Neurospora crassa OR74A: one gene and its partners. The protein of the gene in region 3 interacts with the protein of the main gene of each other region in a pairwise test. Links are inferred from orthologs where the notes say so. Each region holds a gene or a part of one and is shown on either strand. Other genes may lie near its edges.

Region 1 (4,342 bases), about 2.3 Mb from region 3:
TGCACTTTGAGGCTTAGTTGGAACTTGGAACAGAATCGTGGTGCGAACTTCGGTCGAGTATTGAGAAGATAATCCCCAGTAAGAACATATATCCTCCTAAAAGGCATATGATATCGCTGCTTGAACTGCTAGAGTGGCTGCAAACTCTTCTCCTGTAGCTGAATGCACACCAGCAACTGCATAGGACTTCACGGTCTGTGATTACTGTAGTGTACATACATACATACATACATACATGCAGAAACAGGAGGCTCTCCTCTGTACCCTCGTCGTCCCACCCAGAGCGTTCAAGCTCGCGTCCATCATCGGTCGGAGCAAGTGGGCACCCACCCAATGGCGCCATTCCCAATCCCGTCCGGAGATGCCTGCTGAGCCGGGGTGGTTCCGCTAGACCATCAAAGGGGGGACGATAAAGTGGGGGCGGAACCCGTCGTGTTCTGACTGCCCTGCATTTGCCATTCTTGCTGCAGCTTTCATGCACAGCAGCACCGACAGATCCAAAAAAGGTCCCGTCGGTTGGTCGGACTAGTCCTGTCCCTGCCTATCCAGCGGCGGTGGCAGCAGTCCATCTTCAACGGCCTCCATCGTGCTTTTCTTTTCCTAGATCTTGACCTCCAGTCCCGCTTCCAGAAGCTTGCAACAATGTCAATCACAATGGCACGGATGGGGCAGGACAATAGGGAGGCCGGCACCTCATCCTGAATGCGGAGCTCGTGGTGATACTTGCTATCTTGTCTTGATACTAACTCGTCTGCACCCATTCCGTCTACGGTCGTAGTTAGTGTCGAGTTAATCTAACCAAACCCTGCTAAGCGACCCCCTGGTCCGTCTCATTTGCACTTGGCCCTTTTTTTCCTCGTCGCCCTGGGTTGCTTTGGCTGCCCAGAAGAGGAGTGCAGCACCGAAAGCGACCAGCATTGCAGCAGTGCAAGTGCAGGTAAAAGCGCAGCACTGCAGCAGGCCAAGCAGGGGGAGACTGGGGCGTCCATGCCTGCTGGGGAATTGCACGGACTGCACCCGCCTACCGAACCGTTCCCTGCTGCGCTGCTACTGGTTCTACAGGCTGCGCACTGACCCCCGTCGCGGTCCGGGGCCCGCCAGTGGCACTGAAGGAATGAAGGAACTTCCATATGGGCGCCCCTTCTCTTCCCAAGACTTGCTATTAGGAATCGTCAATCGTGTGTCGGTCCTAAGCATTCCTGGCATCGTTGTCCGCAATTCCTCCCTCTCTTCAATCCTCGGGACAGTCAATGATCCATTTGCGCCTTCTCCGACCCTTCGCTTAACCCAACTATCGACTGTCGACATCATCACCTTTTCCCCGTTGCGTGCCAGGAGGTTGCCCTTTACCAAGAGTATCTGGTATGTATTCGCGATTTCTGATCGTTCCCTCTGCTTGCCGCAATTTTTCCAATTGCTCCATCGCGGCCGTCGCCCTTCATTTTTCACGTCTGGCACCTCCGTCCGTCCCCTTCGTGGCCGCCTAATCGCCAGCCGTCAGTAGCAAGGACAGAGGACCGCCGGGGGAGAAGTCCGAACTCCAACTCTTTTTCCATCTCGCCCTCACCCCCCCGACACGAGCAAGCATCAGCGCGACCCCGACCACCGACTGGAGTGAATGAATGGCGATTGACGACGACATCTGAACAACACGGCTGACACGACATGTCTAAACAGCTTAATTCCTATCGTTAAAGACCCACAGCACCACCGACCCCGAGTTCTACTTGCGACCCTTCCTCACCACCAAGCCTGTCCGAACTACTAGTTGTCGGCTTTTGTCGCAGCACCATTGTCGCCCACGTCCCCGACGACACTCCAACACTCCTTTAATTCCCACCCTGGAGTCGAGGCTTCGATAATATCAGCCAAAATGCCTCAGTACGCCTCTCGCGATGTCGGCGACCCGTCGCAAATCAAGAAGAACAAGCAAAGCATGGCCGATCTAAAACTCCGTCGATTGACCGAACTCAACAACCGACTACGTGAGGACTTGGAAAGGGAGAGGATTCCGGTTAGCCAGGCAGCCAAGAGGTGAGAACTGCCATTCGTTGTTGCTCGGGTCGTTCGGCAACATGTGCCGGTCGTGGTTCAATGAGGCTGACAGTCGTTTCTTTTCCCCTATATAGCATAATCACCTACTGCAACAGCACACGAGACTACATGGTACCAAGTGTTTGGGGGCCGGTGCCCAAGTCCGAAGACCCGTATTTGCCACAACAGAGCAGCGGGTGCTGCGTCGTCATGTAAATTGCCAACTGCGAAAAGCTACGACATCAATGCGGCGACAAAAGGGGAGGACATTCGAGTCACTCTGTTTAGCACGGGCGATCAGTTCAGCGTTTCGAAACAGCGATTCCTACGAAAGTCTTTTGGAGGGGCGGACACCGTCGTTTGCAAGCGGGATTGGATCCGGACGGAGTTGGTTTGGAAGGCCGAGAACGTTATCGGAGATTATGAGCGATCAGATGTGCATCATCGGGACGGAAAGAAGTCGGCATTGTTTGCGGTTCGTCCTTTTCGCCGCCATTATCACGATACGTCAAACCGGGGAGAAAGGTTTTGAGGAGTGAAGACACGACGGCTGGCCTGACCATAATGCTTATTCAAATACCCCCCATCCGTTACTTCGGATCTACGGCAGGCAGGCTCGGCAGACTCTTCAGCATGTAATACCTTTTTATTTTTCTATATTTTCTTTCCCTTTTTTTTGCTTCTTATTCCCCGGTTGTACTCTTTTATACTCGGCCTTCTCGATTCCCTTTTTTGTCTTTTACATGTGTATATCCTGCTTCATGAAGCGCTTTTCGCGCGGCTTCCTCTTCTGGGTCTGGAAAGGAAGGGGCTTACGACATGATAAGTGAGGCAAATGAAATGCACTAGACTATCGATTTTACTCAAACTGATGATATTTGAATGAATGCATCAAAATAGCTCCAGTTTCCTCATCAACGGAATTTGATATCCTATGTGATGGATTGCTGCAGTTGGGTCGAGAGATAGACATTGAAAAATGTCTCTATCAGTGCACTTAACGGTTGGTAAATCCTCACATAGTAGTAATCCATTTTGGGGATCTCGCACTGGTTGTTGATGAACTCATGTTTAGTTCGGAGGCGTGATGACGCACAGGCGATTCGGGGTGCGGAACCCATCCGATGGAGCTGAGTAGGTATGTACAGCTCCAGGATTTAGCCGTTTCTCGTGTGGACTTCCCTCCAAATCACATGAACTCCCACTTACACGCCGCCACCTAAAACCGACCAGAGTGAGAAAAACACGCAAAGTCCATAACAATCAAGAGGCCTCCATCTACGCGAATATATATACATGTACATCACTCTCATTCTTGACATAGCATTTCCCAGTACACACAAGGATAATGGACCAATCTCCTACTACTACCAGTGCCTCGACTCCAACTTTACTTCCTCGTGTTACCATCCGCTTTTGTACGCAGTGCAAGTGGATGCTTAGGGCAGCATATGTGAGTAGAAAGTTTCCTGAAGATATCAAGTACTTTTCAGACGCTTCGAGTCTCGCCACTGTCATCTATTCACCGTCTCGGAAGAGGGTTTCTGAATTCCCTAACCCCCACCTCACCCTCCCACTTCACCTATACCATTCATCATCCACACTTTCACCAATCGCGTTCCCGTTAAATACACATGAATCACATGAACCTCAGCTACATCTCCAAAAATTCTAACCCCCCTTCTCAAATACAGTACGCCCAAGAACTCCTCTCAACCTTCTCCACTTCTCTCGGCGAGGTCGCTCTCCAGCCCTCAACAGGCGGCACTTTTATCGTCGACATCACTTACGCCGCCGCCGCCGCCGCCGCTGCTACCACCGCCACCACTCTGGACAACCGAGCTTCTACCACCACTCCCGAAATACAGCAAAAGACAATCTGGGATCGCAAAACAGACGGCGGCTTCCCCGAAACCAAGGAGCTCAAGAGGCGGGTGAGAGACGTGATTCAACCCGAGAGAAATCTGGGGCATGTTGATCGGGATTATCATTCCAAGAAGCAACAGGAGCAGCAGCCGGCTACGGAAGAAGCTACTATGGAAGCTATAACAGGAACCAACAAGTCTACGGAGGCTGATGCTGCCCCCCAGCAGCAAAGTACCTCTAACAACAAGACAGAGTGTGCCGATTGCGATAACTGGATGACTGAGGAGACTTACAAGGGAGGGGATTTTGAAGGAGGACATGCTGGTGGGAGTGGGGCGAGGCAAAGCGGAGAGCAGAGTAGTAAGACGACCGGGGAAGGAACTGGAACTGATACGAGGGGAGGTAGCGGAGAAAAGAAGACGGCTGATTCTAGCTGGATGAC
Region 2 (4,853 bases), about 810 kb from region 3:
GTGGCCGTGGTGGTATTGTATCGAAGTGGGTTTACTAATCAAAGCGATTGAATGATACCGTGCGAGCGTGGGTGCCTGAAATTTGTAAAGTCTGGTTGATTTCAATCGAGTTCATTGCGCGAGCGAACATTTACGACCCCAAGTCCGTCCGGTGGAGCCAGTCCGTGCACATGCATTTGCGTGGGCCGTCTCCGCTCTCCATCGGCGCAAAGTGCAATTCGTCCGCGGGGCCTTGCTGTCCGCCCGCTTACACGTCCCAAGACCAGGGCACTCACTGCAAAGAAGCAGGGTGACCAAGTCCACAGAGAACCCACAGTCTCTTTAGCTTCCACCTCCTGGCTTTTCTTGGTGGAGGTCTCGTCAGTCGGCGGGATATTCTTTGCATCCACTCTGCGAGAAGTCGACATGCGCCCATCAACCACGGGGGAGGAGCTGCACCCGAGGAATGGGGCGCAACGGAGCCTTCAATTTCAGAGATCCATGACTCCGGTGCCTTCGGCCAGGCTTGTTGAAGAGCTTGGCAAGATTTAACTCGTTTTCTTTCTTCCTGTTCCATCGGGGGTGCGGTGCGGTGCAGTCCGGTGCGGCGTGGCTAGTGCGAGGTGTCCATGTCCGCCGTTGAAATGTTGAAGATCAGAATCAGAGGGCAAGAAGTCGAAATAACTGCCCCAGCTTCAAGGTTCACAAATCCCTTTACTCCCTTCTCAAAAGTCCCGTCTTGTTCCATCATCCAAGCCCTTCGGCCCGCCATCCAGCCCGCTGTCCGCCGACCGGGCTCTCCTGTGTTATGGATAAAAAATCGTGAATTGGGCGATCTCTGGGGGTGGCAGGGCCTTCATACCCAAGATGGCAGCTTGTACAAGAAATAACAAGTTTGATCATTCTCAAACAGAAGATTTCTGTAAAACCACTAGCGCCTTGGCTGTACCGCGCTGCTCTTTTACTACTATGTATGTACTATGTAGGTGTAAACTAGGTATATTCATGCAGACGTGTGTAGTGTAGTGTGCTCGCTCCATTGGGGAGGTTTGCTGCACGCATCATCCATCCCGTCCATTGCCTGGGAGACCCGACTGGACACCAACGAACCTGGAAAAACCGAATCCGTTCCTCTGTACCTAGTTGTACACCACAACCTCAATCTGCACTCGCTTCCGCTTCCATTGACACCCGGCTCTTGGGGCTTTTCACTTCCACACTGCTTCACAGGACGACGCTTGACACGGCCTCCATTCCTTCCACCTGCCCCCAAGCGTAGACGTACCCGGACACTAGTACAGGCTAGGTAGTACAGGTAGACCCAGTGCAGGCCTCCCGTCACTCTGTGAGGAGGTTCCGCTCTGCCCCTACAGTAGAGTACAGTAGCCCAGTGCAGTGCACGCAGCGACCCAGCAAAGGCTCCATCGTGCTACCCCCCGACCGGGCCCCTCCCCCCGGGCCCATACCCAATCTGGCACCAGGTAATAATCGCAAGGAAGAGGAACTCTGGCCAGCCTCTTCGTTCGCCAGTTCGATTCGGCCGCCCGCCCACTCGCAGAAGCGAAATCGATCCCCAGTCCTTCTTTTTCCCCTTCTTTCTGTTCTTCACCACCGAACTCCTGTCGATTAGCGACAGCCTCTCCAACTTGCTTTTACGACCTGACAGTCACTCGCGTCGGTCGCGTCGCTCGAGACTCTCTTGTCCATCACTGCCCTGCCACCCTCTCTCGAAAGCTGACGCCACGCACGCCTGCCTTTAGTCTCCATACTCTAGGTTGTCAGGGTCGCTCTTCGCCTGGTCAATATCCGCCATCCACTCATTCGTTCGACAAGAGTCTGTCCGTGGACAAGCAAGAGGCTTTTCCCCCCCAATCCCTCTCCACCACTCTCCTCATTTTTTCCAACAGCAGTCATTTCGTTCAGAGCAGGATCGGGACCTGCCTCGCCTGCCTAGCTGTTTGAATTGGCCCACCACCGCATCGCCCGACCCCTGGAGCTAGCAATTCCTCCTCCACCGGCGCCCCGTACCAGCACCACTGCTTTGCACCATTCTCAACATCCACACTCCAGCAACCGACTCCGACTTGCTGCATCTCTGAAGATCCGACGTCCCTAGAGTCCAACCTTTGTCATCGTCATTCTCCCTGTCTCAACCAGTCACAACAACATCACTTCGGAGTAGTCCGTCCCTCATACGAGTTCGTCGCCAATTGTGATTACGAATTGAACCAACACACCTCAAGAAAAAAAAAAAAAGAGAAAGATGGACTCCCGATCAAGCGATGTGTCGCCAGAGGCGATGCAGGCACGAATTCAACAAGCGCGTCGCGAGGCCGAGAATCTCAAGGACAGAATCAGGCTGAAGAAGGAAGGGCTCGCCGATACTTCCCGTGAGTCCCCTTGTCGGCAGGTCGCGAACTGCGCCGTTGTCCGCCCATGCATGCCGTCGTCAACGGCGGATTGACCGCTGCATAGTGTTGCTGACATGATGTGTAGTCTACGAGGTCGCGCAACAGGCCCATGAGCCACTTCCGAAGAACAACATGATGAAAACAAAGAAGACGCTGAAGGGCCATCTGGCCAAGATTTATGCGATGCACTGGTCTACCGACCGGAGGCATCTTGTCTCAGCATCTCAGGACGGCAAGCTCATCATCTGGGACGCTTATACGACCAACAAAGTTCACGCCATTCCCCTACGATCGTCTTGGGTTATGACTTGCGCCTATGCCCCGAGCGGCAACTTCGTTGCCTGCGGTGGTCTTGACAACATTTGCTCTATTTACAACCTGAACTCGAACCGTGATGGCCCAACTCGTGTCTACCGGGAGCTTTCAGGTCATGCGGGCTATCTCTCTTGCTGCCGTTTCATCAACGACCGCAGCATCCTCACCTCCTCCGGCGATATGACATGCATGAAGTGGGATATCGAGACAGGAACAAAGGTTGTTGAGTTCGCCGACCATTTGGGCGACGTCATGAGCATCAGCTTGAACCCCACAAACCAGAATACCTTTGTGTCAGGTGCTTGCGATTCTTTCGCTAAGCTTTGGGATATCCGCGCTGGCAAGGCCGTACAAACATTCGCTGGCCACGAGTCCGATATCAACGCCATCCAGTTTTTCCCCGATGGCCACTCTTTCGTAACGGGTTCCGATGACGCTACTTGCAGACTTTTCGATATCCGCGCAGACAGAGAGTTGAACTGCTATCGCGTGAGTAACCTGTGGATTATTCTCCTCTCGGTTCTTGATTTTTTTTTCTCTTGGTGGCTTTAGAGCTAACATTTGGGTAGTCCGAATCTATTCTTTGCGGCATTACCTCTGTCGCGACATCAGTCTCTGGACGTTTGCTCTTTGCCGGTTACGATGACTTTGAATGCAAGGTCTGGGATCTTACTCGCGCTGAAAAGGTTGGCTCTCTCGTCGGTCATGAAAACCGTGTCAGCTGTCTGGGCGTTTCCAACGATGGAATAAGTTTGTGCACAGGCTCTTGGGACTCCTTGGTAAGTTTCTACCCGCAACATCAGATCGATATGGTACAGGCCGCAGATTAGACTAACTCCCTCACAGCTCAAGGTCTGGGCATATTAGGCGCATGTGTGATACTGATACGACCGGCACCCTCTGGATACCCGACCACGACGCGTCACTTTGCCAAGCCTATCGAGTGCTTTTTTCTATTTGTTCTATTCAACCTGGTAACGCCTCTTGATCCTTGCGATTTGGCGTAGACAGGACGAAGTCACGACATATTTTTCGACCCAACAATCTCGGCTCCCCGGGCTTGGACCATCATCAACTGGCCTTGCTCCCCGGTTGGAATCCTTTTTAGCTTCTATAGCGGTTTTTCCGATACTCCACTCGATTTGCTGCGTCATATTTTCAGCGGGTTCAGTTCGCAAGGTGGGCGGCAGCGATATCCTGGCTTTGTTCAGCTCTCCGTACGCCAACCCGCCTCTCCCCTCCAGAAAACGTCCCCCCGGATAATATGATCCGACACGTTCATCAACTTCGGGTCGCGTAATTCCCCGGGCATTATTACAGGGACGTCTGTACCAGGTTTTTTGGACCCGGTTTGGCTGGAGCAGAACGTCCAATAATCATCAAGGTCTGGCTCGACGGGTCGTATCATATTCCACATGAGTGGTTGCCAGTGTCTCTCACAGGGGTTGTGTCTTGAACCAGTTTACCGGATACCCTCTCTATACGTATTTATCCACATCTTTGCGCGCATTTTCTCAGCGTTTGGTCTTTCTCTAGTCTATTACCGGCGGGGTGGGTAGGAAACCGTCAGGGTGTCTATTTTCACGTGTGTTGATAAAGTAGGCCGGGAATGCAAAACGGTCCCTTTGTCTTGTGTTTTTCGCGAGAAAGAGGCGGGGATCGGCTCACGAGTGGCGACGGTAAACAGCAGTTGCGGTAAAGGCTTTGGGGGAGGTACCATACCCTTTTTCTATTTCCCCGATTTTTCGTTAGGCAAAGGGTGTATATCGTGGGGATCTTACCTATTCTGTCATCTTATCTTTCTTCATCTGCCCTTTTGCTCTCTCTCTCCTTACCTCGCTCTTCTGATACCTAGTATCTTTATGACGGTTGTTTCTTTCACTGATGGTTAATGGTGGATATGCTATGGCCTGGATGAGATGGTAGGAACAGAAGTGGAGGGAAGGAGGGAGATGCAACTGGCCTTTTAAAATACTTTCTCAAACGTTACCCCCGAGCCCTGATTCTGCCCTGCCTGTGTACTATAGTTGCACTGAATGCTCAATTCATTCTATAAATCTGCTCTCGCTTGTATGCATCAGGTCTACGTGAAGATGGTTTCCAAAGCTTGGCCAATGTGTTTGTTAGTCTAGTTATGCTTTGTGCGCG
Region 3 (4,851 bases):
GCGGACACAGCTCGATACGACTACCGATCGGGCTGCTGTAGCCAGACATTCTACCGTTACCTTAAAAATCATATAGAAGCCGCGCTCCAATTAGAGATACTCGTCATCATTAGTCTACGAGTCGACCATGTCATTACCCAAATACCCCTAAAGCTCCAGACCCCCGTGCATCATGGTACACAACTTCCCATCTACACCTCCTCACCAGCAACGCTCTCATACCCCCCACCTCTCCTCCTCCCTCCGCCACCAGATGTCATGACCCCCGGACTCTCATACATATCCGTATAGTTCACCGGCACACCGCCCAACACCGCCGCGCCATTCTCATGCTTCCCAAACATGGGGCTCGGATCACACCAAAAGTCCTTACAATTCGTGACGCACCCTCTGCTATAGGGGTTGCCGCGCTTGTTCCTCTTGGATCCCTTGCCCGTAGTCGCACCCCGACCTGCCGCAGTTTCAATAAAGGCGTCGACGCCGAGGAGCCGAGACCATTGCTTGATGAAGCCTTGCTTGTGGTTGTGTCCGTGTGCGTGGCGGCCACCGTGACGAGCGCCGCCTGCAGCGGGGGATGGACCGGGGGCGGGAAGAGAGGGTGGGTTGAGGGGGGCGCCGGTGGAGGTGAAGGAGCTGTTGAGGGAGGTGGCCGAGTAATTGTCGATGCCGTGCATGTTTTCGTACGTGGTCATCGCGCTAGAAACTTGGACGAACTGGACAAAGAGGAGCATGGAGACCCAGGTGAGTTGAAGCGAGGCCCAGATGGCAGTTAGGAGGCTGTAGGTATCGGCGTTGACGATGCGGCAGAGCGAGGGGGCAAGGATGTTGCACTCGTCGGAGGCGGTCTCGGAGAGGGTGGAAAGGTCTGCTTGCGTTAGCAATTGGTCTGTAGGAGGGCGATGGGACAGACTCACATCTGTAGGTCAACCAGTCATAGGTGACAACACTCAGAGTAAGGTTGATGAGGTAGAAAAAGAAATGACGGTGGTTGTTGACGCCGATGCAGTTGTACACCCAAGGGCAGTGACTATTCCCCGTTAGCTTTCCCATTCTGACCTAGTTTTGATTCGATATACTCACTGATCATGCTTCGCCACGCAGCGTTGACACCTACGGCAATGCTTGCTCCTCAAAGGCGTGCGGATCATGCAGGTAACGCAAAAGTTGGACTCGTCAAACTTCCATAGGCTGATAAGCTCATCGATGACGGCCTTTTGCTCAGCGACACCTCCCATCTTGGGCACGAACCCAGGATCATCAACCATACACCGGATGTAGAACCAGATAGTCATGGAGATGAAGAAGGCAAACAGCAAGTTGGGGATGACTGCCGAATCCTGTCCAAACATTGTGCTGCCAAAGATGTGTAGCAGCCAGTTCATGATGCACAAGAACAGCGACCCAGCAAAGATACCAGCCATCCAAGGCGTCTTCTGCAGTTGCCTCATGTCTGGCGGGGCATAAGCGATGACCTGCTGTGCCACCCACTGAACGGCATAGCCCGCCAAGACGCCCAACGGGATTCCAACGAACACAGGCATGCCAGCCATGACAACCATCGTCGCCCACACCATCACAAACGGCCACAGAAACGTAAACTTGGTCATGAAGGACCTCCTGTCCTGAAGGAGATACGACGCGCCAGGCCAGCTGGGGACGATGGCGTTGCCATGCTCGTCGTAACCGCACTCGTCCAGCGCCTTTTGCCAGGCGGCAACCGTGTTGAGCTCCTGGGCCGTAATGGCGGGGGTCTTGCCGTTGGCTGTCTTTGCGAACCGGTCGGCGCCGTACTCAATCAGCTTCTGGATGCAACCCGGGCTTCCCTTGACCAAGGCCCAGTGTAGTGCCGTGAACCCCTGCTCGTCCTTGGCGTGGACACTGGCTCCCCAGCGGAGAAAGACATCGACGCAAGCGGGGAAGCCCTTGTATGCGGACCACATGAGAGCTGTATGACCGTAGGCATCTTCGACGTCAACGGGGATGCCTTGGTGGAGGAGGAGGACGATGAGCAGGACGTTGCCGTTGAAGGTGCTGATGTGTAGTGTGTTGTACCCCTGAGAATCGGTGATCAAGGGATCGGCGCCGTGCTGGAGCAGCAGGTGGACGGTGTAGTAGTGGCATCGTTGGGCGGCCCATTGTAGAGGCGTTGCGACGCTCTCTCCTCCCTTCTTGTTGATCTCGGCGCCCTTGTCGATGAGGAACTTGCACATGGCATACTGGTTGTTGATGGCGGCCCACTGCGAGAAGGAGAGCAGGGTCAGCTGGGTGTCGAAGTAGGAGTGTAGGAGAGGATTGGACCTACATGTAGAGGCGTGATGCCCTCGTCATCCGAGTACGTGGCATCGTATTCGCCGGCCGCAAAGAGCTTCTCCATGCCGGTAATGTCGCCTACCCTTGCCATTTGCATGATATCGTTATGTGCTTCGCTGGGGAGGCTACCGAGCTCGACCTCGCTGTTCAGCTTGGGAGTTGCTGTGTCGGATTTCATGGGCGGTTGAGCGGGGGCGGCATGGCCGGCATGGGCGTCGGCCCCGTCGTGGTGCACCATTGTGGGATCGCGGTGGTGAAATATAATCGTTCGATCAGTCGGCGAAGAAGGTTTACGGTATTCGGAGGTCGAGGATCAGGATCGTAGTGGTAGTGGTAGTAGTCGGAGTGTGTCGAGTTGTCGTGTCTATCATGTGAGGGCACAGATGGCGACGGTACGAGTCGGCGTGGAGGGGGAGACCACCACCGGGGCGCAGCAACTGGAGACGAGGAGCGACGAGTCGCGACAAGGAAAAAAAGACGGGAATAAAATATTTCGAAGCTCGCAGTAACTCTAGGGACAAGGCCGGAAGTCGAAATACACATTAACAAAGATCAACAAGAAAAGAGACCGTCGGCGATGGATGGGAATGGCTGATGATTCCGCCGTGTCCGAGTCGCCAACTTGAGAAGTGGAAGTGAATCGAAGACGGGAACTTTGGTGTTGGACTTTGACTTGGCTGTGGCTTCCGGGCATGGAGTTTGAACTGATGGTGGACTGTCGTCAATACCCGTTGCCTGTTAGTGTCAACATCCGGTATCGCCGTGTCTGCGGTGGCTGGTTGATGTCTCCGCTAACATGCAGCTTCGGTTGTGTGCTGCAAGGGTCTTCCTCCGGGGGATTGAACTGCCCGAGGTGCCGCGGCGGAGAGAGACCAGTTCAGGGTCCAGGGACGTCTTGGGTTTATCGGGCAGCCCTTGGCTATCTGTCTCACACTGCCACGGACCAGAGATGTCGATAAAGACATTGACACATGCGATAGGTAGACTGGTAGAAAGATCGCATCCCCTCGTCTTTCCAATGTTCTCCGAGTCTTCGTTGTTTTCGGCGGGTGTAGGTTGCGGGTTCGGTGACAGCTAGTGTGCCCTGTGGTCGGGGTGCACGGACACTGCCACGCCCACTGTGCTGATTCGTCCCCAGCCAACCCTGAAGCCCGGGCCCGCAACCGCAACCGCACGCAACGGGCCAGAGAGCCGCGCGGTGTCTCTGTGAGTGTGACAGGTCCAGCTCAGGGCCCGCCCTTTGGTGGGGCGCCAGGACAGGACCCCAATCTTCTGTGGAGACCGTCGTCTGCCGGGAACTTGGTCGTTTATCTCGAATGACGATGGTGTCATTTTCGGCACCAAAACACCCCGAGTCGAGACCTCTTGGCCCCCCCCTGCAACGCGCATCTCAACAACCGACGACGCGTCTCAACAAACCAAACCAAAAAAAGGGGGATGTCACTATAACATCTACGAATCTCCTTGTTACATTTCAACCGAAGTTAAACAGACAAGAAGCAAGTGATCGATCGAAACCCCCGCGCAACGTGTCCGAAGTAGCGCAAGCTTCTACCGCAACCATGGACACGACAATAGAAACCATAACCGCAACCGTCGCGGCAGCATCCAGCACGCCCTCCTCCACCTCGAACATCAAAGAGCTCATCAAAGACTTGCTCATCGCCTCCCTCCAACCCAACAAGACCGTCATCATCACCGGTCTCCTCATCGTCTTGCTCTTCCCCATCTTCCTCCACCAAGTCCTCCACGGCAACGAATCCGGCTCTTCCTCCTCCAAGAACTCCTCACTCCCCTCGATCCTACTCGCTGGTCCTTCCGGCGCCGGCAAGACCGCCCTCCTGACCTTGTTCGAGAAGCGCGCCGGCCGCTCCACCTCTACCTCAACCGACGAAAAGACCGAGCCCGCCAAGACACACACCTCCCAAACCCCCGTCTCCATCAAACTCAACGCCGCCGCTCCCTTCTCCTCCTCCTCCTCCTCCTCCTCCTCTGTTTCCTCTCCCTCCGAGAACCAACCGAAGCGAAACTTTCTCCTCATCGACACCCCAGGCCACCCCAAACTCCGCTCCACCGCGCTCTCCCACCTCCTCCCTCTCGACCCCAAAACCGGCCGTCCCCTTCCGCCTTCCAAATCCCAACCCATCAAAGGCGTCATCTTCCTCCTCGACGCATCCACCCTCTCCCCCTCCTCTCCCGATTCCAGTCTCAGCCAAGCCGCCACCTACCTGTACGACCTCCTTTTATCTCTCCAACACCGCTACAGCCGCTACACGAAAGGAAGCAAGCACCCGCCTTCGATCCCCGTGCTCATCGCTGCGAATAAACTGGACCTTTTCACGGCGTTGCCTGCGACTTTGGTGAAGAAGGAACTGGAAGCGGAGCTGGGGCGGATTAGAGTCAGTAGGAGTAAGGGATTGTTGGATTCGGGCGTCAAGGAGGATGATGTCACAGCGGGGGAGAAGGAGGAAGGCGATGATTGGTTGGGGGAGTATGGGAGCGAGAGGTTTGAGTTTCGGCAGATGGTGGAGTTTGATATTG
Region 4 (4,981 bases), on a different chromosome or scaffold from region 3:
CGGCGAGGAGGTGTCGATCCTCAACAACGTGCCGCAGTTGTGATGTGGAGGGAAAAGAAAAGAACAGTTGGATGCCAAAAGAGAAAGTGGAACGAACCAGTTCAGCGCCAAATTATCACCAGCATGAAAGTAAGGCCTGACACACGACGATTTCGCAACAAGATACCCGGCTATGAAATTTGCTTTCTAGATTCTTCAGGATAGATGTTCGTCCTGGGGTTTTTTTTTTCTTTTTTTTTTTTTTTTCTTACGTTAGTTATGTTACGATAGTCTTCACATGGATGCTTTTCGGGTCAAATCTGATGCACAAAAAAGTGTTCTTCACCGTGTATGGTCCCTTCTGATTAATGGGGCATAGGATTTGCGAACATAGGAAAAGGGGTGTTGATGTTTTTACGTCAATTTGGAATGGTTCATTGTGCAGATCAATCTCAAGATAAGATGGTACTCAAATTGCCTAAAGCCTTAACATCACGATACGTGACTTGTTATTTTATGTAATGTGTAAGTATTGCATGGCGCGTTGAGGTTAGATGCCTCTGTATATAGTACCGTTGGTCCTGTGCACAAATGTGTGATGTTTTCTGTATCATAAAATACCCAAGCCAAAACCCGTACCAGCTTGCCTGCCAAGGATATCAGAAACGCCGATAGTCTATAAGAATAACCAAGTCAACATTTCACCCAAGAGCTACCACTTAACTAATCACGATCTCCCCCCAGGCTGCCTACTAGAACTACCCTTCCCCGGTTTTTGCTCCTCTTCATCATCACTAGCACCACCAATGCTATACCTACTATCCGCATGCGGGTCCTCCGGCTTGCTCAAGTGCAAATCATCCAACTCGCTCTCGTCAAAATCCTGCGCTTCAACATCCCTCCTCCCGCTTCTCTTGTTCCTAAAACCTGCCAATCCTTGACCTCTCGTCCTATCTCCACCACCACTAAGGTTCCCACGAGGTCCCGGGTTGTTAGAAATGCTATGTCTCTCGCCCGTAGCAACACCCATATACCCCTGCCCAGCAGTCTTTCTCCTTTCTTTCCAGACAAACCATCCCCACACGCCCGCAGCAACAATGACAATCACCAGAACCAGCTCGCCTGACTTGCGGTAGGCTTCCCACTTGGCCATCTCCAACTTGGCCTTCTCGGCCGCTTGGTTGCTCGTGCTATTCCCTGCTGCGCCGCCGACCGTCGTTTCGGGTAACTTCTCCCCGTCGAGCCTCGAGTCCGTAGGCTGTCCGCCAATGCTACTGATATCCACGCCCATGAACCGATCCAGCATGTCGCGCGTGCGGCGGGGGTAATCGAAGGGGACCATGTGGCTGGAGTTGTAAAAGAGCACGTAGGTGAGGTTGCGCGCTTGTTGCCAGAAGCCGGCCGGTTCGCCTTCGAAGGTCCAGTCGCGCCGCGGCGCCCAGGTTCCCGGGGTGAGTTCGAAGCCCTTGCCGCCGTTCCATTCCATGTTGGAGATCAAGGCTTCGGTGCCCAGGTGGTTGCAGATGAGGTCTTCGGCGCCGGAGAAGAGCAGGATGGGAACGCCGGCGGAGAGGATGTCGGGAAGCAAGGTGATGGACGGCTTGGTCTTGGGGTTAAAGTTCATGCCTACCTGGCCGTTGCATTCAGTCCAGCCGGTAGACTTGTTATCGTTGATGTTGAGGGCCTTGATGACTTCCTTCTTGCGGAGGTAGGGGGTTACGCTCTTGAGGTCGGGGGGCCAGGCCATGCCGCATGAGGGGTAGTCGTCCTTCAGGCGGACGTCGTACATGTTGTAGCATTGGTTCTTGCCGCTGGCGCCGACGCCGCCAGCAGTCAGTTGGAGCATGTCTTGCAAAATAGCTTCGCATTCGGGGTAGTCGATCTTGTCGGGCTTGACGGCGATTTCCTTTTGGCAGATACGCTGTTGGATTTCGAGCTTGTTGGCGAGGTCGGTACCCTTCTTGACGATGTCCTTCTCGTAGGCAAACTGGAGGTAGGCGTCGTATTGCTCTTTGGGGGAAACCCAGCCGTTGCCGATGAGGAGGCCCGAGAGGTTCCATTTGCGATTGACGGGACCAGCGTTCTTGTTACGTTCGAGAATAGCTTGGGCGATGTAGGGAATGTGCTGACCGGCGTAAGACTCTCCGGCAATGTAAAGCTGAGAAATCGGTTAGACAGAACGAATCGAAGAGGTTCAGAGTGTGGCACCTACATCGTCATGCTCGTACTCTGGGAACAGAGCGAACCACCTCTCCAAAAAGGTAACAAAGTTGGCGGCCATCTCGGTCAACTCGTGGATATAGGCGTTGGTGTCGACATAACTGAAGCCAGTGCCGACGGGGTTGTCGACGAACAAGACGTTGGCGAACTCGTTCCATGCGCCATCGTTGTATACCAAGGTGTTTTCGTCCTTCAGTCTGTAGGGACCAATCTCCATCAATGCGCCATCCTCGGAACTGCAACCAGGACCACCATTTAGCCAGATGACGGTTCGTTGTTTGTTGGCGATATGTTTGTTCTGGAAGTGCCAGAAGAACAGGTTGCCGTTGTTATCAGGGGTGACCTCGATATGTCTAGTTGTGAGAACATGTCAGCCTTGGTGTTCCCCAACATATTGGATTCGCGCAGCAACAGTGAACTTACCCGGCATGCATCTTCACCAGAGGACCATCTGGTGCGCCTGGCAGATCATGGACAAAGTAGTCGGCGGAGCCAGCAGCGGCGACGAAGCTGGATGTCCATGACAGCGTGAATGCCGCGATTAGAGTCGACAGTCGTTTCCAGCTAGCCATAGACCGGCCAGCATTGGTGGTAGTGGTGGTGGCGGCCATGATCACCAACTGGACTCAAGTCGCTGGGTTCAGTTGTGGTGGGTGGGATGGAGGAGGAGACAATTGTCGTAAGTTTGGCTACCTATCACCACCAACCACATTCATGGGGGAGGATAGAAGAAGGCCGACGACAACGGCAAAAGTTGTAGGAACTCTGAAAAGGTCGAGATGTTGCTCCGAGACAGCATCCATGGATGAAACGGTAAAGAGGGAATCTGTCCTTGGGGCGGACGGACAATAGTGTACAACGTGGGATGAATGCCACTGCGGCACGGATAGTGGCGTTCCATTTCAGCTAGACCTCACAGGGGGCAATCTCATTACAAGTAAGGGACCCTGTTAGTGGTATTGGGCGATCCCGGTATGCTAGCTTAACACATAGCTGGGGGGCCTGGTCTTCTCTTCCATGCAGTCACTCAGTCCATGCGCCTCGTGGATGGACGCGCAAGCCAGTTCCATTCTCCTTCCTTCGATTATCCAACCTAAGCAATGTCGATATCGAAAGATAATACTCTTAATGTCCTTGTCTGCTATATTCTAATGCCTCAAGAACTTATTGTATAGTTATGGAATCGGGGACAGAGTTCTAATTACACACCAACTTACTCGCTATGAGAGCTTCCAAGGTTGTTTCCAGATCTTCAGGCACCGCATCTGGACGTGAATAAACGGAGCCTTATTCAGCCACTAACATGACTTGACAGAGTGTAAACCTCTTCGACAACTTTACTCCCTGATGGTTGACAAAGAGCAGCCCTAGAGGAAAACATCAGACGAAAGTTTCTAAATCCGGATATCGGCAAGAACTGAACAGCTGCTCATAAAATCGGCCCAGACCTGAACAACCGAGCGATTGTCCGCGAGCACGACTCATCTCGGCAGTCAAGCGTGAGCTCCTCGTATATACGATTACAAGTTCATCCACACTCTCCCCAGGTGTATGAGACAACAATTAGACATAACAATCAGACATGTACATGATCCCTCAGTTCGGACAGCCCCTACCGCCGGGATCTCTGCCGGAATGATGATATAAGACATTGCGGGGCCGGCTTCCGAGAACGGGCAAGGCAACCCGGGCCCGGATCGCCGAACTGAATCACCGTTACGGCATGCCGTCCATCTTGGCACGGAGAACCCCACCAAGCCATCAGAAAGCTCCACCAAGAAAATGTTAGTCTTGGCCTTGTGAGATCGTCCAAACACTTACACACAAACTTAACCCTCACTTTGACCTTTTTGATATCCTTGAATATCTTGGTCCCAGCACAACTTTTGAGCCGGTTTTTGAATTCCTACTCCAGCTACCGTAGTAATGGCCGCCACCAAGAAGACCTACATCGTCGAGCACCTCGATGAGGAGCTGGGCCCCTGGTCCGAGCTCGAGTACCTCGCTATCGCCAAGGAATCGCAAGAGATCGGTTCCGAGTTCCATCTGACTTCCCTGCCCCAGGGCTTCAAGGTCCCCGAGGCCCTGGCCGCTGTGCCGGCCTTCAAGGCTGAGAACCGCGGTGTTGAGGAGATCTATGCTGCTGACAAGAGCAGGGTCTGCCTGCTGGATCCCGCGGCCAAGAAGGACTTGAGCCCTGAGGATGGCGACACCTTTGATGTTTTCCTGTTTGGCGGTATTTTGGGTATGTCTTTCCTGGAAAATGGAAAGTGTTTGATGAGTGATTAATACTGACTGCATGGTGTCATAGGTGACGACCCCCCGAGAGGTAAGCTCAGTCCCGGATATCGATCTCTCAGTGAGGTCTGGTTACTAACAAGCAAACAGACAGAACCTCTGAGCTCCGCAAGAAGGGCTTCGAGGGTCGCCGTCTCGGCCCCGTGCAGATGACCACTGACACTGCTGTCCGTGTCACTCGTCTTGTTGTTGAGGGCAAGAGTAAGTTACTCTCAGATGGCTTCCTCGTCATTGGATTTCCTCACCTTCAGCTTTTTGTCCTCTCCACTGTTGCTCTTCAGCTTTTGAGACACACTCCGTTCCCGTTGCTGAATTGTCACTAACATTTCCCAGCTCCCGTCGACAAGATTCCCTACGTCGACCACCCCGAGCTCAAGTTCAGCGAGCACGAGAGCACACAGATGCCCTTCCGCTATGTCACTGACAAAGAGGGCAAGCCAATCATGCCTGCGGTAAGTCCTTGCAGAGAAGTGCTTAACGGATG
Region 5 (5,060 bases), on a different chromosome or scaffold from region 3:
TGAGCTTGGCCTATTTTAAACGTCCCGACTTTTCGTCCTCTCATTTCTACTTCCACAACCACCAACCAACCAATCATCCTTACAAAGAGATCCTTCAACATGTCTGACAGCAAGCAAATGAGCCAGCAAGAGGTTTCTGCCGAGTTCACTTCCTACTACCTCCAGCGAGCAACCAAGGAGTTTGCCGAAGACCTGGACAAGGTGCGCACGGCTGACGACTTCAAAAACGATGCGATCCACCTGCTCGTGAACGCGCTACAGCAGGGTACTGCGCTTTTCTCTCCCGAAGAGCAGAGGAGGATAGTCGAGTCTGGGGCGGAGAGGAAGTGATGAGGACGAGCGACGCAAGTTTTGAAGGGAAGGGATCACGGAGGTTCAGGGGAGTTGGAGGTTATTTCTTGCGTGATTGCAGGAAGATCCGAAGATGGGAGGTCGTCTCTCGATAGCGGGCATCGAGCCGAGCAGTCCATCGGTTCAAGACGAGAACTGAAGGCTTCGACGGACGTAATCTTTGAGAGGCCACGCGAATCCTTTCCACGTCAACCTGTCTATCGACATGACACGACTGGGGAGAGACTGATTGGTTGAAGCAGGAGCTGTTCACCCACACGATCACCCGCAGTCGGTTCTACGACCATAGTTGGAGAGTAGAGTCAGGCGCAAACCTCAAGGCCGCGGAAGATAGGCATGGAATACCCGTAAAAGCATAGAACATGCGACCAAAGAAGAATGATATGCTGCACAAGATTGATAACCTGATAAATGAAGTCAACCGGTTTTAAATATGGCTGGCTGTTGTACAATTTCTATCCAACAGAGGCCGTTCATACTGAAACGCGCATTCCGATGCCTGGCTGTTTCTAGCGTTATCATTGTAACTGTAAGTAATCATAACCATGACAACATGGCCGAGTGGTTAAGGCGACAGACTTGAATACCGCCTTTATTCAGCTATCTGTTGGGTTCGCCCGCGTAGGTTCGAACCCTACTGTTGTCGAATTTTTTCGCCTTTTGAACCATTTTTTTCCTCCTTCTGTTGGCTTCAACATGTAATTTCACTGATGTATGTGAGATAGATCTCGTTTTCAATTTATTTTTTGGGCTTTGATTGCTAGCTAGACCCTGGACATACAAAAAAATGCCCCTTGGTTTTCCAAAGATAAAGACCCAAAAAGTCTATCGATGGGAACACCTTCCACACGTAGACACCAACCTGCCAAAAGAGACACTGCAGTTTACGCGGTGATAATGTACTTCAAAACCAGAAGGCACGGCGGAACTGAGAGTGGAATACTGAATGGTAACTGACACTCCCGCCTCGACTCTCTACATTGCTCAATGTATAGATATGTACCTATGTACTTTATAATAGTATGTTTACCCTATCCATGTCCCTCCCGTACGGGTGGTTCGGGTTGAAGCTCTGCCGAAGTACGGTGCTTCAGATACACCCAGTATTACTTCCAGTCTGTGTACAAATCAACACTGCTAGCTGGGCAGGTCATTTGATGTCTCAAGTTCAATACCTTTGAAAGGAAGAATAATTTGGACTGGATCACTGCATAAGATTATGGACGGTGAAGAACTGCCGGTTATGGTAGACCCCTCCACTCCACTTCCGACCAGCGACTTATCCAACACGGACGGGGCCAGGGCTGACCAACGCTCCCCACGGCCGCGACGGAACCCCGAGAGCCCGCCTGTCAGCTTTAGTCAACGCGACTACACAAGCTTGGGGTCGGACCTTACTCCTGACCGACATTCGACGAGGGGCCGATTTTTTTTTTTGATTTTTTTTTTTTTTCTCTGAAAACGTTGGATCATCATCTACCCAGGTTACGTACCTTGCAGCCATAAGACCGATCAGGAAGCACTAAACGTCGGTGCTTGCGACAAGGCGGTCATACATACCTGCTACGCCCACGACCCCCCCTCCGCCTTCCTCGTTCGACAGGACAACAACGCCAATTGTCCATTATCCATCAACGGCCCGAGTCCTCGAGACGCTGTATGACATTCAGAGACGATCGGGTTCGCATACAACGGGCGCTCGCAAGTTTAACATTGGACGTGGAGACACCCTCTCCTCCATCGACGGCGCATCTTATCTGGGTTCTTCCTGAACGCAGACCGACCGCGGACCAATCTACCACCCGGATCACGACCTCACACACACACACGAATTCGCATAATGGCAGCCCAGACACTGCCCGCCTCCGGGGCTGCCGTGACGTTCAATACCCAGCGCACGCGTGCATATCTCCTTAAGCTGCCACTTTTCACAAGAGCCACGGTGCTAATCATTGTCCTGACATGGGTTCTGACGTTGGTCGGCAAGTCATGGAACTGGGACGTCAAGACGTGGGGCGCGTTGATACCGGACGAGATTGGTATTGCGACATGTAGGTTCTATTCGGTTTTTGTTCTTCGGTATGGTCATGCCAGGGAGTGGCCAAAGTGGAGGACCTCGCTGAAGGGAATGGGATGGGAGGGAATCCTCAATTGGACGCAGAGCACGCGCTGGTAGCGGACACCGCAGATACCAGACAGCAGTCCTGCGGGATGGCAGGAGGCTTCACATTCTGAAATGGGTCATGCCTCAACGCTGGCCTGTGACATGAGACCTGCCCGAGCACACCTGCTAACACTCTTGGCAACAGTATATCGCATCAACACATTCCCCTTCATCCACCTAAACATCTTCCACACAATACTCAACATTGTCGCCTTTACACCTCTTCTCGAGCGGTTCGAGCATGAACATGGTACTTTAACCTCTGTGGCGCTCTTCTTTGGCCGTAAGACACCCCCCTCTCATCTCCTTGATATTACCCGGGGCCACAACTCACACGTTTGTTCTCCTCTAGCATTCGCAACGATACCGGGCCTCATCTACGTCTTCGTTGAAAGGTTCATCCTTCACGCCAACACGCCAGTCATGGGAGCCAGCATGTGGGTGTTCCTGCTGCTGGGCATGGAAGCTATTCGCACCTACAAGACCAACCCCTACTTCACCATCAGCACCTACAACATTCCTACGTGGATCACTCCTTTGTTGTTGGTGGTGGTTACTGCTGCGTTGCTGCCGAGTTCGAGCTTCCTCGGGCACTTGGCCGGTCTGCTTGTCGGTTATGGGTGTACGTGTTTCAATCCCAACTGCTCCCCTACCTACGTTCATGTTGAGGGGGGGGAAAGCTATATTTGCTAACATGGATGATAAACAGTCGGCCTAGGATACCTCAAGTTCCTCGCCCCTCCTGAGTGGGCGTTGCGGTTCATCGAAGGAAAGCTCAACCTCTTGGGTAGACTGCCTCACTACGTCAGCGTGGATCAAAAGACTTTTGGCAGATTCGGTGTCCTCCCTTCCTCTGCCTCATCAGCCGAGGCTGGCATTCCGTTTTCCGGGGTCTCTGGTGGCCAGCGATTGGGACCTTGAAAGAAATACGGGTTCCCGAAATATGGCGTACATTACGTGCATGAGTAGAAGAGCATGGAAGTTTGAATTGGTGCATACGAGGCATGCGTGTCATGAATAATGGATATAGAAAGGAATTTTACTGTTAATGTATGATGCTGTACGACTAAATACAGGGCCGGGGGAAAATGGAGATGGTAGTTGCATGGCGTTCTCTGGATATGAATCGAATTTCCTCTTGGGATTTGAAGCCTGCAAGTCGAGTCTTATTAGATTTGATGAGTGCCAATCATTCAGCTTGAACACGTCCATGGATGATGAGTACGGGGTCTCAATGGTCTTCAAAGTTTCGTAGCGTCATAAAGAAGCTCGAGTCATTATGGCAAAGGTCGCGAGTTATCCAGATGTAAGAAATAATATGTTATCACTTTGCTTTTCCAACCCTTTTCACGCTTACAACAAAGAAATTTCTATTCATCAGTATACTTATTCCCCTGTACGGTAGTAGCGCCGTCCCAAATAATGGCCCAAAAATTCCCTTCCTATCCCCAATTTCAACCTCCTTCCCCCCCCAATGATCAGCCTAGCCTAGCCCACAGCCTCAATCAAGCAGCAGCAGCAGTAGCAGCACCCTCCTTTTCCTTCCACCCCAACTCCCTCAACGTCCAACCCTTCCCCTCTGGCGTCTCAGCCCCCGCCCCCTCCTCCGGCTTCACCTCAAAATTAGCATAGCAATAAAACTCATTGCTCAACCCCCTCGCGTGCTTAGGCTCAAACGTAGTAGTCCTCAGGCCGTAGCTCTTATACAGCTTCTCCGTGACCAGCGTCTCCATGCGCTCGCCCGTGCAAGCAATGATTCTGGGCTTTTCGCCCTTCTCCTCCGATTTGAGCATCCACCTTACCGTCAACGCAGCCTTGGTCTGGCAATCCTCGCTCAAAAAGGGAGGATCCACAATGACGCGGTCAAAGGCGCCCTTGAGGTGGCTTGGAAGCTTGAGCGGCTGGGCGAAATCGTAAAAGACGAATTCGTCAGCAAAGACGGCGAAGCGGTTGTCGTGCTCGAGTAAGGTGAGTTTGGGCTTGGGCTTGTCTTTGTAGGCGTCGCTGTTCAAAAGGTTCTTGAGCTGAACGAAGACGGAGGGGGCGGAGACGACGGCGATGGAGGTGGTTGGAGTGGCGCCGGCGAGGAGTTGTTTGGCGAGAAAGGTAGCTGTTTCATCGGAGTACTGTTGAGTGATTCTCATGTCAGTTGGTTCGTCTTCGTCGGTTGAACGTCTCTTTATAAGCCATGTGTGAAAAAAAATTAAATGAAAATGGTATCACTCACCCAGAACTGGCTTTCATTCCAATCCTCGGTGAAAGCATCCATAGACAGCTTGACGTTCAAAGCATGCCTCTCCTCAGCCTCGGCCTGGAGCTTAGCAAACTGCTCAGCACGGGCATCGCGCTCGGCGTAGAAAGATTTGAGGGCATCGAGGGTTGAGGTAGAGAGTTCGCTTCAGATAGTCAGTATACTGTGGATTACGATTATTAAAATAAGTTTCTGGTAGTGAGGCATTACTCACAGGTCACTCTCATCATCAGAGAATTTGTCGATGATGCACGCCATTTTGGACCCCAAGTCTAATCACAGTATGGCTCGATT
Region 6 (5,008 bases), on a different chromosome or scaffold from region 3:
GCTCATGACAGTGTCCGCACCCTTTTGGTAGAACCAAATCTCGCTGCTGCCGAGGCTGGGGTTCCCGGGCTGGAGCTTTTCGTAGAACTGGACAATGATGCCCATGCGCTTGCCCTCCGAAGTGAAGGGGAAAATGTCGAGAATACGAACCTTGACCACTGGCCGGCCGGTTTCGGCGGATTCGAGAACGATGTTCTTGCGATCTCGGTGAGCCAGACGCAAGCCTACGGACTCGGTCCATTTTACAATGGCAATCTCGTCAGGCGAGCTGGCTTGGTATGAGTTGACGGTGTGACCGTTCTCGTCTTCTTCCGAAGTTGGGGTAACGTTGTGGCAGAGGGCAAGAGCTAGTACGACATCACGGACACGCGACCCAATCTCTCGGCGTGTCCTCGTGGCACCAACATTGGCGGCCGAGTATGTTGAAGACGGGGTTGCCAAAGCCAAGCTTGCGGAAGAGGCCGATGAGCTCAGATTAAACCCCTGCTTCACGTAGGTTGCAACCTCATCCATTGCTTCGTTGGCATACGAGACAGTGCCGACGTGGATCTTTTTCATTTCCATTTCGTTTTGGGTTAGAGTGCCCGTCTTGTCACTCAGTAGATACTCTATCCGTCCCAGATCCTCCGGAATCGTGCTGGTTCGCACGACAGCCCCGGGAATCCCAGGATCTCTTTGGATAAACCATGAGTAGACAGACTTGCCGAGATCCAGGTTGACACGGAGACTAATGGGGACGATGGTGGAGAATAACACTAAGAATCTCATGATCTTCACGTACCAGATGTTTCCCTTGGCCGTGCTGAAGCCTTCCAGCGCAACAAGAACGATAGACAGGAAGAGCGTCAGGAAGCAAAGGATTTTGGTGAGTGAGTTGATCTCATACTCTAGAAGGCCGGTCTTTGATCGCGAAGGTGATGTAGACAGGGCTGACCGGGTTTGAGGTCCGGTATAAACAATCACTGCGAGGGTTGTCGCATTCGATGCGATGACCGTATTCGCCCAGGCCGTGTTGTCGATCGAGAGAGGCGCTGCCTTGACATCGTCGCCCTCCCTAGGGTTGTAGGCGGCACCGCTCATGACATCTTGTCGCGAAGGAAGAAGTTCCAATGTTCCGACGAACTCATTGACCCTTTTGTCAGGTTTTCCGGCCGTGACACGGAGACGAACTAGTTCCTCAGTGCTAAGGTTTTGAGATAACGGGGACGCCAACCGCAGCTTCCAATCAGTTTCACCGTCCAGTTGGTCGGTCCGAATAAAAGTCTCGCCGCTAGAGCTTCCCTCGGCGCCATTATTGTTGCTCTCCTTGGACGTTTTCGCATTCTTGGAACTGCCCTCTCCAACATCGTCATCATCGACATGGTCCAGGAGCAGCATCTCCTCCTTCGCGGGTACTTCTTGCTCTTCGGTCTCCTTGTTGGCAGCTGATTCGTGTGCCAAGCACTTGAGAATGATAACATCTGCCGGAACGCGATGGCCCTTGGTAAGCTTCAAGACGTCACCGACCTTGAGGTCCCGCGACTTTTTGCTGACTTCGGATAGGTAGGATGCCGGCAATTCGCGAAGACCCCGACCTTCAGTCTGTTCTTCCTCCTCTTGGATATCCGATAGCCGATCATTTTCCTGCTCAATGCCAAGACGTTTAGAGCCCGTTCGTGTATGAGACGATTTCATCTTCCTCCTAGGCCGGTTGATGCCTAGACTAGCGCCTGGATCGTCGAACTGCAGAACGGTGTACTCTTCGGAATTCGCCTCGTTGTCCCTTCTTCTCCGTTCGATATCGTCGTAAGCCTCCTTTGCTAGGGTGATGAACAAGACAAATGCCAAGGGTGCAACGTAGGTGGAGAGATAGCCGATTCGTAGTGCGGGGATGGCCTGGGAGAGGGCGACCAGGAGGAAGTACATGTTGAAGAAGAAGGAGAACTCGTTGTACAAAGTGACTGGCAGAAAACTCCATGCTGTGTACTTTGCGTTGGATATGATGTTGGGTGGGAAGCGGGTAGACTGGGATGAGCCAACTGCAACTAATCGTGACGATGAGGGGTCGTCTTCCTCCTGTTCCTGCTCGTCGTTATGGTTGCTCTGGTCGCCCGACATGAAGCCTGGTAGCTTCATCGAGATGTTTCGAAGACCGTCACCGGCGAAAGACCTCCGTCGTCTTCCACTGCTGGTGCGTATTCGGCCGCCACCACCATGTTCGCTGAGGAGGCCGGCATCCTCGTCGTGGGTGGCACTGCCAACCGAGTGGCGATCATGGCGGAGCAGAGCGTCGGCGTCGTCGTCGTCGTTTCCGTCCCGGCTACGGCCTAGCTCGCCATATCCATTGCGTTTGGCGCCACGGCGTAGACTCCCCATGCGAAGATTGCGAAGTGCTATACTTGTTGTTGGGGGAGGAGGGCGTTGTTCGGACGAGTTGCGGCTGCGGTGTTGCCCCAAGGACTGGTGGTGGTTATTGGGGTCGGTTGCCTGGGGGTCGAGTTCTTCGAGGTCTATCTCCAAGTCGGAGTCGGATTCATCGACGACGTGGGAATCGGGCGGCTTGGAGAGATGGTATGTGTCTGAAGAAGGCATTCCGCATTGGGCGAAGCCCTTTTCCTCCACAGCTAGATAGCGTATGCTCTTGAGTCGTGTTGTCCTTTTTTGTTTTTTTTTTGTCTGATCTGTCGCGGCCTAACTGTAGCTAAGGGTAGCTTGGGCTGTGGTCGCGACTGCGTTCGGATCTGTGGTTGGTTTGTTTGGGTTGAGTTAGGGGTCACTTGGGAGGGTCCTCGTGGTGTCGAGATCAACTCCTCCTTCCCATAGTGGCCGTGGTTGGTAGTCTAGGTGCGTCTGTCTTGCTGCTGGGTGCTACGTGCTTCTGGGGTCGGGTGTGCTGCGCCTGCAAGGGGACGGGAGTCGAGATAGTGTCAAGTTACTCGATAGAAAATAGTCCAGTCATGGTAGTGATTCGTACAATGTTTTCATCAAGTCGTCCGCGGGCACATCAACTAGGTAGAGGTAGGGAACTGAGAGATGACGATGGCATGTGACGGAAAGAAAGTCACAAACGGGGACTCGGAACGGAAACTAACAACTTGAACTGAAAGTGGTGGTAAAGTGGCAGTGATCGGACTGTGTGCGCGGCCTGCTCTTCATACCGTACCTCGTACCTCCACTCTAGAGGTACCTACCTACCCATCGATGACAGGCTCCCTCCTGGTGCGTCCAAGTTCGTGCAGTGGCTGTGATGATGCTGGAGGAGGGACTGAGCGCGCTTATCTGTTAAAGCAGTACCTACCGGCATCCATCGAATTCACCTAAATAACTGAGTATATTCTCAACACTGGGACAGGCCGATAAGCTAAGTAGGTATACTGCTTCCCCATCCATGTAACATGGAAGGACAGCTGTTGTAACGTTTTTTGTTAGAGATCCCCGCGCATTCCCCGCCATCCATATATCAGACCGCCTAAATGTACCACGTAGCGTAGTGTACTATTGTGCAGACAGGGCAGCAGTCAACCTTCTGCGACCTCTGTGTCTTGATTTCCGCGGATTTTCCCAGGAATCTTCCGACGGCCGCTCCCGGTGCGCCTCCATCGTCACAGTCTTGGATCTTGACAAGTTGCAACAACTGAACTTGGCCTTCCATTGAGGTTCTGCAGTCGCGCAGTCTCATACTATGATCCTTTCCCACGTGTGATCGACCATTCCATCCCAACGTTTCCCAGATCTGTAGTAACAAACAGGACGACAGCATTGCCCTCTTCCTTGTCATTGACGAAATCCAGCCGGCGTTAGACTTTCTTCCTCATGTTGACAGCCATGATCAGCTGCTGAACCTACTTGTACAAGTTAGTCGTCCCTTTTGCTTGCCCCTATTCCCATTCCCATTCGACAATTGCGCACTCTGGGCCTGCTGAACAGGGGTTGTCTTGCCCGCAGTCCTCTGAGGCTCCTCCTCAACAGGGCAGCCCAGTTGCCCAGGTCCGCTCCCCATTCTCAATCCCGTCGCCAATCGCCGTTCGGTTCGTTACGCGATCAAGCGATCCCGTCGAGTTTCGCCCCATCCTGGACTTCCCACTTCTACTGTTTGTAGCTAGCTCCTCCTGGCCAACAACAAATACTACCCTTTCTCCATCTTCAAATATTCCCACCTTCTCTCCCCTTCTTCATGTACTAATCTTACTTATTATATACAGTAATTCAATATTTTTTTTGTGTTTTTGCGCGCCCATACAGCGTCCCCAGCTGTATCGCGCCATCTAATCGCCCGCCATGGCTTCATGGAACCCGGCATTCATGCCAGAATCGGCCGCCGACCTCCCGGCCCCCTTGCCGACTGATAACACCGTCGCCGACTCAACAGATCATGCGAACGGTGTAGCCCAAGATGGCTCCGACTTCTGGGGAATTGATGGAGGAGAAGAGGACGTGCCCGCCCAGAATGGCGCCTCTGACTCCTGGTTTCCCGACTATGGAACAGGCAGTCATACGACACTACCCGCGACTGATGCGCAAGCTACGAGCCAAATAACCAGTGAAACTGATACCGACACCCCCGATACCGCTACCGAACAGACCGAGACCGCACATGTAACTACGGAAGATGCTGAAGCTGTCGAGCCAGCTCCCACTCAGACGGACGAAGCTCCCGAGCCCATCGTAGAGAACGCGCAAGCTACCGAGGCCGTCCCAGGAGACGCTGCCACCGTTGACCTCGTCCCCGAACATGTGGAGCCTACCGATGCTACTACTACAGAAAAGGCCGATACAGACGAGCCATCGGATGTCGCTTCCAAGCACACGAGTACGATGTCCTTCACTCGAACCATTCCCCATGAGCCGAGCTGGAGCGATGACGGCGATCCTGAGTGGAACCTCGCGCGAGCGGATACGGATCCCTTCAAGTTCTTGCCATCGAGCGACCGAACCAACTCTTTTCCTCCTGTTCCTCCCCTAGAACAGCACGAGCAACAGCAGGAAGAGCAACAAGAAAATCAACAGGTACAGCAGGTACAGCAGCAGC

The links.
Region 1: the proteins of NCU08218 (region 3) and gng-1 interact in a two-hybrid assay, tested with the Saccharomyces cerevisiae proteins (2 studies listed by BioGRID). The link is inferred for Neurospora crassa OR74A from reciprocal best matches to the Saccharomyces cerevisiae genes AKR1 and STE18.
Region 2: the proteins of NCU08218 (region 3) and gnb-1 interact in binary tests that used the Saccharomyces cerevisiae proteins (3 or more experiments, as listed by UniProt). The link is inferred for Neurospora crassa OR74A from reciprocal best matches to the Saccharomyces cerevisiae genes AKR1 and STE4.
Region 4: the proteins of NCU08218 (region 3) and NCU04316 interact in binary tests that used the Saccharomyces cerevisiae proteins (3 or more experiments, as listed by UniProt). The link is inferred for Neurospora crassa OR74A from reciprocal best matches to the Saccharomyces cerevisiae genes AKR1 and KEX1.
Region 5: the proteins of NCU08218 (region 3) and NCU02371 interact in binary tests that used the Saccharomyces cerevisiae proteins (3 or more experiments, as listed by UniProt). The link is inferred for Neurospora crassa OR74A from reciprocal best matches to the Saccharomyces cerevisiae genes AKR1 and RBD2.
Region 6: the proteins of NCU08218 (region 3) and NCU03818 interact in a protein complementation assay, tested with the Saccharomyces cerevisiae proteins (2 studies listed by BioGRID). The link is inferred for Neurospora crassa OR74A from reciprocal best matches to the Saccharomyces cerevisiae genes AKR1 and NEO1.

What each region holds. Positions count from the first base shown.
Region 1 is NC_026503.1:2,378,192-2,382,533, forward strand, and holds gng-1 (guanine nucleotide-binding protein subunit gamma), read left to right. Parts: upstream 1-1,182; 5' UTR 1,183-1,362; intron 1,363-1,677; 5' UTR 1,678-1,873; coding exon 1,874-2,034; intron 2,035-2,129; coding exon 2,130-2,250; 3' UTR 2,251-2,938; downstream 2,939-4,342. Other genes in the region: NCU00042 (selenoprotein domain-containing protein), read left to right, coding at 3,383-3,487, 3,729-4,342. UniProt on the Saccharomyces cerevisiae protein: Implicated in the pheromone A- and alpha-factor response pathway. The beta and gamma chains of the putative yeast mating response pathway G protein play a positive role in initiation of the mating response.
Region 2 is NC_026503.1:3,863,042-3,867,894, forward strand, and holds gnb-1 (guanine nucleotide-binding protein beta subunit), read left to right. Parts: upstream 1-1,399; 5' UTR 1,400-2,242; coding exon 2,243-2,369; intron 2,370-2,475; coding exon 2,476-3,194; intron 3,195-3,274; coding exon 3,275-3,484; intron 3,485-3,551; coding exon 3,552-3,572; 3' UTR 3,573-4,772; downstream 4,773-4,853. UniProt on the Saccharomyces cerevisiae protein: Implicated in the a- and alpha-factor response pathway. The beta and gamma chains of the putative yeast mating response pathway G protein play a positive role in initiation of the mating response.
Region 3 is NC_026503.1:4,668,014-4,672,864, reverse strand, and holds NCU08218 (palmitoyltransferase AKR1), read right to left. Parts: upstream 3,331-4,851; 5' UTR 2,549-3,330; coding exon 2,303-2,548; intron 2,238-2,302; coding exon 1,081-2,237; intron 1,028-1,080; coding exon 915-1,027; intron 866-914; coding exon 192-865; 3' UTR 55-191; downstream 1-54. Other genes in the region: NCU08217 (SRP receptor beta subunit), read left to right, coding at 3,627-4,851. UniProt on the Saccharomyces cerevisiae protein: Palmitoyltransferase specific for casein kinase 1. Palmitoylates isoforms YCK1 and YCK2 at both C-terminal cysteine residues, which is required for their proper plasma membrane localization.
Region 4 is NC_026505.1:5,592,250-5,597,230, forward strand, and holds NCU04316 (pheromone processing carboxypeptidase Kex1), read right to left. Parts: upstream 3,048-4,981; 5' UTR 2,811-3,047; coding exon 2,623-2,810; intron 2,553-2,622; coding exon 2,192-2,552; intron 2,138-2,191; coding exon 707-2,137; 3' UTR 488-706; downstream 1-487. Other genes in the region: NCU04315 (dre-2), read left to right, coding at 1-43; NCU04317 (DUF431 domain-containing protein), read left to right, coding at 4,126-4,444, 4,511-4,528, 4,588-4,698, 4,831-4,949.
Region 5 is NC_026507.1:2,720,673-2,725,732, reverse strand, and holds NCU02371 (rhomboid protein 2), read left to right. Parts: upstream 1-1,648; 5' UTR 1,649-2,191; coding exon 2,192-2,402; intron 2,403-2,660; coding exon 2,661-2,798; intron 2,799-2,867; coding exon 2,868-3,137; intron 3,138-3,224; coding exon 3,225-3,436; 3' UTR 3,437-3,847; downstream 3,848-5,060. Other genes in the region: NCU02370 (hypothetical protein), read left to right, coding at 100-330; NCU02372 (N(6)-adenine-specific DNA methyltransferase 2), read right to left, coding at 4,021-4,641, 4,743-4,911, 4,981-5,024. UniProt on the Saccharomyces cerevisiae protein: Probable rhomboid-type serine protease that catalyzes intramembrane proteolysis.
Region 6 is NC_026505.1:2,510,636-2,515,643, forward strand, and holds the start of NCU03818 (phospholipid-translocating P-type ATPase), read right to left. Parts: upstream 3,024-5,008; 5' UTR 2,572-3,023; coding exon 1-2,571. Other genes in the region: NCU03819 (COPII coat assembly protein sec-16, variant 1), read left to right, coding at 4,258-5,008. UniProt on the Saccharomyces cerevisiae protein: Flippase that catalyzes the hydrolysis of ATP coupled to the transport of lysophosphatidylserine, phosphatidylethanolamine, and phosphatidylserine from the lumenal to the cytosolic leaflet of the Golgi apparatus membrane and ensures the maintenance of asymmetric distribution of phospholipids.